Arabidopsis thaliana: one gene and its partner. Each later gene encodes a partner of the first gene's protein in a complex. Each region holds a gene or a part of one and is shown in the gene's direction. Other genes may lie near its edges.

Region 1 (4,026 bases):
GTTGGCCTCCAAACCATATTGCGGGTTACGCTTACCTAAAGGAAGAGTAGCAAAAACTTCTTAGAACCAAGTAAGTTGGTATAAAACAACATTAGATAAGAGATCATAAACCACCAAAAAAACAAACCCTGGGAGTTAGATTTGACCATCACGGAGAAGATGAAAGCAGGAGGTTTAAAGGGGTTTATGTCTTCTTTCCGGGAAGAGTCCGTTGAGCGCAAGCAATACGTTGTAAAGTAAATAACCCTAAGCTACGTTTTATTTATAGAAAACAATCAAAGGAAATGTTTTGGTTTGGGCTGGGCTGGGCTTTCATTGTACCTGCTTAAGAGGCCCAAGGCCCAACATGCTTCTTCTTTTTCGTCTACCTCCAAATCAGCCCAGTGTGTTTGTTCTGGAATTCATAATTCATAGTTTCCGATTAAAAAGCAAGAGACCAGGTACAATCTCAACCTGTGGATTGCATGATAAAGATGATTTTAATCGGAAACCGTAACGATTCAAAATTGAAACAAAAGTATTCATTGAGGATATCAAAATTCGATAACCTAACGCATGTGTCTCGAATTAGAGAAATCAAATAGTGTTTTCTGGGCAAAATCAAAACCAATCGACACAAATCGATCTTTTGCGAAAAAAATACTAAAAAGAAAGGCAAACCCGTGTAAACTTCATCTTAATCTCATGAGTAAGAGTTTCCAGATAAGCATATCTCCGTGATGAAACTTTCTCCATTCCATTACCACCACTGATTGAAGATGCGATCACCGGAAAACAACCCAAAAAGCAAACACCGTCTCCATCTATCGGTAAGGAGAATTCGAGAGATTGATCACAGAGTAAGACGAGAGACTCTTTCGATTAATGCTCTCATTGTTCTCATCTGAGAATTCCCATGGCCACGGCAAATTGTGGTAGCGGCGGAGGAGAAACGGTGAGAGCTTGTTGCGCATCTCAAAAAGAATGAATACATAAACCGAACTATACCGACCCAAATTGAAATATAGAAACTGATATAAACCGAACTATACCGAGCCAAATTGGAATTTTTGAAATTGGAATAAAACTGAACCGAGCCAAATAGTCTCGCACTCTCACCAAACCCAGTTATCTTATTAAATTTTCACCAAATCCAGTTTATCTTAATGCATATCCTATCTTTTCATTAGTCCATAACTAATTCGTTGATTATTGTTCATTAGATATTTGCAGTAATACAAATCCCACTATGACAACATGATGACTCGCATAATATGACATTCAACTATTGTGAGATTACAAAATTTAAAGATATTTTACTTCTTTTTTTTCCAAAATAAAATTTACATTCTATTGATAAAATGTAATTAGTATGGATAAATTAGAATCATAAAACATTAGTTTGAGATAGAGATTTAAAATAATCATGTCACAAAAACTAGATAAAATTTCATTAATTATGATTGGTTATCTGGTTTCATTTTTTATTTTTTACAAAAATATAATCAGCCGTTCATATCTCTACACTTGGCTATAGAAATAGAGAAATATCAAATATGTACCAAAGAGGACAATTTTACAATTGAAAATTCATCGTGATTCAGAATCATTTGGAATCTAAGTGGGGTCAAATCAAATATAGCCCACCCTTTATAATTTCTTAAAAAAATTAGATAGTATTTTAAAATTATAATGTTTACAGATATTTCTTAAGCAGCCATTATTACTAAAATAAATCATAGTTTATCCAATTAAATTATTCGCTTCCGTTTCTTAAAGCATAAAAACCAAAACTTTCTCTTTCGTTTTGCTTTCTTCCAATCATCTGCAGGAGTGAATCGCAAAACCAAATTTGGAGGATTCTTTCTGAGGTATCAAAGCTTTCTCCTTTTGATTAACCCACACGAGAAAAAGCTCTCTTCTTTTGTAGGAATTCAAAAAGCTCGTCTCTTCTTGTTCGATTCAATCAGATTAGAAAAAGTTTCTGGATTTGAGCTGGATTGATCTAGGTTTAACTTGGATTACTTTTTGTAGGGGTTTCTCAGTGAGAAAATGGCTTCGAAACGGATCTTGAAGGAGCTGAAGGATCTCCAGAAAGACCCTCCAACCTCCTGCAGTGCAGGTTCACTTCAAAAATCTCAAATCTTTCTCCTTCTTGTTGGATCCATTACTTTATCTATGATTATCTGGTAATATGCCAGAGATTTAGCATTCTAGAGATCACAAAGGTGAAAGTTACTTTTCAGACTGATCAGAGTTGAGAAATGTAGAATCCTTCTTTGCGTTGTGGTGTTGTCTACTTATGTTTTGGCTTATGTTTATCTTAAGATTTTATGATGAATTTCAGTTTATTAGTTTCTACTTTTCTCTAATTATTAGACTAATCAGAGTTAGAAGAGTTGAGAAATGTAGAATACTAGAATCCTTCTTTGGTTTGTGGTGTTTTTTTTGCTTATGTTTTAGTTTTTGCAGGTCCAGTTGCTGAAGACATGTTTCATTGGCAAGCTACAATTATGGGTCCTGCAGAGAGTCCGTATTCAGGCGGTGTGTTTCTCGTTACCATTCACTTCCCTCCGGACTATCCATTCAAACCACCAAAGGTATTCAATATTGGAACAACTCTTAGATTACCACGAACTTTAGGTTTAGTAGAGTTCCTTGAAATTCTTGGACCTAATTAAAACTTGTATTTGCCCCCAAATCAAATCAATTTCTTGGCTTAATCTTGACACTTTTATTGGTTGTTTTGTTTTTATTTGCAGGTTGCATTTAGGACGAAGGTGTTTCACCCTAATATCAACAGCAACGGAAGCATTTGCCTTGACATTTTGAAAGAACAATGGAGCCCTGCCCTCACCATTTCCAAGGTGACTCTCATTTTTCAGAAACATCGGTTCTCCAATGTTCGTTTATGTTCCAAAAGTATAGCAAGAGCATCTACATTTTCAGCTAGGATTTTGCTCAATGCACAAGCTTTGCTTCTTGAATGTTTGTGTATGTAGTAAGATCATCATCTCTAGTTTTTAGCTGTTTTAATGGAAATGTTTATGCAATTGGTAGGTGTTGCTCTCGATATGTTCGCTGTTAACAGATCCAAATCCAGATGACCCTTTGGTACCAGAGATTGCACACATGTACAAAACCGACAGAGCCAAATACGAGGCTACTGCAAGAAACTGGACTCAGAAGTATGCCATGGGCTAAACAAAGATTCGTATGCTTCAGCACCTGTTTATGTTTTCATGTCTGTTTCTTTCTTCTTCTTGTTTTAACTTTAATAAAAATGTCTAAAATATCAACTTTTTCGTCTGTACTATATATGTTTATGGGTTTTATTATCATCATCTTTATCTGAAATTTGAAGATGGAATTCTAAAGCTTGAAGGTTATTTGTTAAAGTTTATTTACTAGTGAGTGATGAGAAACATTGTGTTGTTGTTCATTTCATTTTTTCTTTGTCAGGAATATTCATTGACTTGTTTTCTTTCCCAATATTTTATTTTACCACAAATATGTAGCTTATAATCACTATCTCGTAGACACACCGTCGTTAACTACGAGAAAAAAAAGAACAGACCATTTTACCAAACTGTTGTCTTTTGCCGACGAAGTCACCGAAGCCGGCGGCGGAAGAAAAGGTAAAATTACAAAAACTCTCTTCTGCAAAGTGACCATTTTTCACAGTGCTAAGTACAAATTTGTAGTCTTTAACCTCACTCACAGTTCATATATGTCGCATTTTGCATCAACAACAAAAAAAAACCTAATCTTTAGGGTTTATTTCTATTTGAAGGTTTTGTGGTGTTCATGGATACAAGAAAGATTCCGTTGTTCTGCTATTGGAATGGTTGTATTAAAGATGGTCCTGATGGTCCGTTCTATGAAGGGTCAAGTCCAAGAGGGATCAGAGTTGATAGCAAAATCGAACTATCCAATTTGTTGGATGATCTGCATCGACTTACTGGTTTTGAAAAGGGAAAGTTTCAGATTGATTTGATTGGTAGGTACCCTTCCATTGTTCAACAACAGATGGTCAAGTATGTGCGT
Region 2 (4,433 bases), on another chromosome or scaffold:
CCTGAAGGTTCCATTTCTGCTTTACTCTTTACACATTCACATACCAATCTTGTTACTCACGCAATCTTCATTCCTCAGGTTACTTACCGGGAAAGCTATACGATCTAAACAGCTCCAAATACGGTTCAGAGGCGGAACTGAAATCGTTAATCAAAGCGTTGAATCAAAAAGGAATAAAAGCTTTGGCTGATATAGTGATTAACCACAGAACAGCTGAGAGGAAAGACGATAAATGTGGATACTGTTATTTCGAAGGTGGGACTTCCGATGATCGTCTTGATTGGGATCCTTCCTTTGTCTGCCGCAATGACCCTAAATTTCCCGGTACCGGAAACCTCGACACCGGAGGAGATTTTGATGGAGCGCCCGACATCGACCACCTTAACCCTAGAGTTCAGAAAGAGTTGTCCGAATGGATGAATTGGCTTAAAACTGAAATCGGATTCCATGGTTGGAGATTTGATTATGTTCGAGGTTATGCATCTTCCATCACCAAATTATACGTTCAGGTAAATCACATATGAATTCTCAAATATCAGACAACAGTATTAGTATATAAGAAACATAGGTTGAGATAATTATTTACTATTAGTATATATAAGTATCATAGGTTGATAGGGTTATTTACTACTATTTAGTATATAAGAAACATAAGTCAATGCAATCAATAAGAAATATATAAGAAAGTTCACTACTGATTATGTGATAAATTCCTCTGTTTTTGGATACACAGAATACATCACCGGATTTTGCGGTGGGTGAGAAATGGGACGATATGAAGTACGGAGGAGACGGGAAACTAGACTATGATCAGAACGAGCATCGGTCGGGTCTCAAACAGTGGATCGAGGAAGCGGGTGGTGGTGTGTTGACAGCTTTTGATTTCACCACCAAAGGGATCTTACAGTCTGCTGTCAAAGGTGAGCTTTGGAGACTAAAGGACTCGCAGGGAAAACCGCCTGGTATGATAGGAATCATGCCCGGAAACGCTGTCACATTCATAGATAACCATGATACATTCAGAACGTGGGTTTTCCCTTCTGATAAAGTCTTGCTTGGATACGTTTATATACTTACTCATCCAGGAACTCCTTGCATTGTAAGTATCATTTTAGTATGTAGCTATACTATTTACAACTACAATCTTGTTGATATGTTATTTTTGTTGCAGTTTTATAATCATTACATAGAATGGGGACTAAAAGAGAGCATCTCAAAGCTGGTGGCTATCAGGAACAAAAATGGGATTGGTAGCACAAGCTCTGTAACGATAAAAGCGGCAGAGGCGGATCTCTACTTGGCTATGATTGATGATAAAGTTATCATGAAGATTGGACCAAAGCAAGATGTGGGAACACTTGTTCCTTCTAATTTTGCTTTAGCTTATTCAGGCCTTGACTTTGCTGTCTGGGAGAAGAAGTAACGCATAACTCGAATCATAAGAAAAGTAATCGAATGTATCTTCTTCCTTTTTAATAAAACATTTTGGCAGTATCTAAAGATATGTATAATGAAATATAAAATGATAAAGAATACCTAAATAAAAAGAGCACTAGTGGTGTTAAAGGATACAACTCCAGTGAAAGAAAAGAGTTCAAGTGAAGAAGTGTCAACTTGTAGAAATAAGTATTGGAAAGTTTCCATCGTTTTGTTTTGTTGCATACAACTAATATATTATATATTGGCCGACTCGTATAAGATTTGGAGCCCTACTAAAATCAGAATTATGATGTCTTAACCACACAATACTGCCAAAATCAGAACGAATTATATTATTGTAGAAGAAGAAAAAAAAAGTATGGTGGGAAGTGGGAACAGTTAGACAGGTAAATTCGAATAAAACGACAGCGTTTTTGGCTAGGACAATAAAAGTTGAAGACGTCGGCTTGAGAAGAAGTAGAAGTGACGACGAAAAGAAAGGGGAAAAAAAAAAGGAAGGAAAAAAGTGAAAACCGTCGGCTTGAGAAGGAACTTTGATATTTGGTGACTCTTGAAAAAAGCAAGCTCTTTCTTCTTCCTTCTTTCGCTTTTTTCACACCTCAAAATCAAAGATCCGAAACACGATTTCGGAGGAAGCTTCGATTCTGTGTGTTTGATTCTTCCTCTTTTTTGTTTTTTGTTTTTTTGTTCTATCCCGTTTCGAAGCGAGCTCTGATTCTCGTTCCTGTCTACTTTTTTTCAGACCTATTTTCAGATCTGAAATAGTTGTGTTTGAGAAGCGGGATTGGTGATCGGAGCTGGAATTTGGTTGGTAATCGGAGGTCAGAGAGAAGTCAACGGATATGCCGGAGGAAGAATCGATAGATATCAAATTCAGGTTGTACGATGGCTCCGATATCGGGCCTTTTCGGTATTCTGCGGCTTCTACTGTTGACTTTTTGAAGCAGAGGGTCGTCTCTGATTGGCCCAAAGGTTAGTTTTAAGGTTTTTTGAATCGGTGCCCCTTTTTCCCCAATCTGATCCTGGTTTTATTCATGATCTTCCCACGAATTTCGTGTTGATTGTCACTGAATCCTGCAATTGTCGGTAGAAATTCGAAATTTAGAGCTGTAGATGAATTATTATTAGCTCATTTGAGATGTTATAAGCTTGATGTATGAGAAAAGCCAAGTCTCTGTGATTTGAGGTTGATCCAAGCATCAATTTTTTTGTGGTTTTGGTTAGGCAAAACAGTTGTTCCAAAGGGGATAAACGAAGTGAAGCTGATAAGCTCGGGTAAGATCTTGGAGAACAACAAGACTGTTGGGCAGTGTAAGACACCATTTGGAGATATTGCTGGTGGAGTCATTGTGATGCATGTTGTTGTACAGCCTTCTCTAGCTAAATCCAAAACAGGTAGTTGTTTGTCTATGTGTAATGTTCTTCATGTCTTTTATATCAGAGAATTCCCGTTTCATGGAGATATATGTGTCCTTAGAGGTTCCTCAATCTTTCATTAGTCTTGTGGTATTTATCTTGTCAACTGTATGGATTATGGTATTCATTTATCTGGCTCAACTTTACGTCTTATAATATCTAGCTCTAGTCATACTTATATTAATTGAGGCTGGTAAGATTTCGTAAGAGTGTTCATGCACATCAGAAAGTTAGTCGGTGACTAAGATCAGTACATTCTTTTTCTTTCTAACAGCCTATGGTACTGACTCAATCAACCTATCAGGTGATTAGTGGTTTTGTCTAAATTTGGTTTGTTTGTCTTGAGAGAGAGTAAAGGATACCCTAGAATTCATTCCTAGGTTTCTGGTGTGTTCTTTGTGTGAAATAAAGCAAAAATCAGCTCTAAGCTTAGCAAAGCATGCCATGAGGAAAGGAATACCTGAATTCATTATTGGTCGTCATCTCCTTGTAAACCCCACTGAAAACTTTTGCCAGTCTTTGAGATTTGTCTGCATAATTTGTTTTTTCACAAACTTGAGAAAGTCGTGGAAAGTGAGTTTGTGATTACTAAGACGTTTGTTGATGAAAGCTAACTAACAGTTGAATACTGGTTTTTGATTAAACAGAGAAGAAGGTTGATAAAGCACCAAAGGCAGTAATCTGCACATGCACCATTTTGTGAAGGGAGGAAGACCAATGTATCTATCATACACATCGTTTCAATTCTTCCGGTACAGAAGAAAACAAAATCAAAAAAAGAAAGCTAAAAGTAAAGTAAAGCTTCCCTTTAAGCTGTGGAGTTATTTATCATCTTTGAATGTGTAGAAAATGAACTATAAATTCTTTTCAAGTAACTCTTTGTCCCTTATTTGTTTTTTCTTCTTACTTTCCCAATGTATGGAAGCTGTATAGGTTACTAGGTCCATTACGTTACGTGTGATGAAGATAATTATATATCTATCTATTTTTAAAAAAGATTGTGCCTTTGTATTTTTCGTTCTTCCTTTCACACCGTTTTAGTATAGGTGAATTTGCGAAATGGCCAAATTCTGGCTGGCCCGTAAATGTAATTAATGAATTCATGAACTCTGAACATCACTTCGAACAGAAAATTCATCTCTTTTTGTTTTAGGTTGGGAAAAGGTAAGAGGATGGAGTTGCGGTTCCGATCAGACAGACAGGAAGAGTAGTGATGGATGAAGGCGACGTAGTCTCGAACAGAGGCATGATGTAATAACACATGATATATGACACAAGTCATAACCTAGCTACTTATAAATACCAACATAAACTAAAAAAAGTCATAACAATGGTATGTACTTATCTACATTAAAAAAAAAAAGAATTGCAGAAAGATGGCAATATGAAACTAAATTGAATCAAACACATGTACTACAAACAATAGTTAAAAATATCAAAACACAAGTAAAACAACCTAGTTTTAACATTTAAAACGAGGAGAAAAAAAACCAAAAAAGGGAGCCAAGCTTTATGCGTGGCGCTAAAAAGATTGGGCTGTTGATGGATAAATTATGATAGGGCCCAATGGAAAAAGA

Evidence for each region. Proteins that work in one complex are often made in the same cells at the same time.
Region 2: the proteins of UBC8 (region 1) and ATGP4 are in contact, whole or in part, in a crystal structure (PDB 4X57), measured with the Arabidopsis thaliana proteins. Residues at the interface, in NP_001190447.1 of Arabidopsis thaliana: Leu7, Leu10, Lys11, Gln14, Lys15, Asp16, Pro17, Pro18, Thr19, Cys21, Ser22, Ala23, Gly24, Pro25, Val26, Ala27, Glu28, Met30, Gln34, Ala35, Thr36, Met38, Gly47, Val49, Leu51, Ala146, Met147; in NP_001329044.1 of Arabidopsis thaliana: Arg12, Leu13, Tyr14, Gly16, Ile58, Ser59, Ser60, Gly61, Lys62, Ile63, Thr75, Pro76, Phe77, Gly78, Asp79, Ile80, Ala81, Val86, His88, Val90, Gln92.

The regions. Positions count from the first base shown.
Region 1 is NC_003076.8:16,674,041-16,678,066, forward strand, and holds UBC8 (ubiquitin conjugating enzyme 8), read left to right. Parts: upstream 1-1,801; 5' UTR 1,802-1,850; exon of another isoform or gene 1,851-2,013; 5' UTR 2,014-2,031; coding exon 2,032-2,095; coding exon of another isoform or gene 2,096-2,101; intron 2,102-2,442; coding exon 2,443-2,579; intron 2,580-2,741; coding exon 2,742-2,846; coding exon of another isoform or gene 2,847-2,981; exon of another isoform or gene 2,982-3,039; coding exon 3,040-3,183; 3' UTR 3,184-3,469; downstream 3,470-4,026. Other genes in the region: AT5G41690 (RNA-binding (RRM/RBD/RNP motifs) family protein), read right to left, coding at 1-35, 128-149. UniProt on the Arabidopsis thaliana protein: Accepts the ubiquitin from the E1 complex and catalyzes its covalent attachment to other proteins. Mediates the selective degradation of short-lived and abnormal proteins.
Region 2 is NC_003075.7:12,849,099-12,853,531, reverse strand, and holds ATGP4 (Ubiquitin family protein), read left to right. Parts: upstream 1-1,721; 5' UTR 1,722-2,086; exon of another isoform or gene 2,087-2,182; 5' UTR 2,183-2,282; coding exon 2,283-2,412; intron 2,413-2,664; coding exon 2,665-2,835; intron 2,836-3,503; coding exon 3,504-3,559; 3' UTR 3,560-3,881; downstream 3,882-4,433. Other genes in the region: AMY1 (alpha-amylase-like protein), read left to right, coding at 1-7, 79-509, 734-1,099, 1,172-1,423. UniProt on the Arabidopsis thaliana protein: May serve as docking site to facilitate the association of other proteins to the plasma membrane.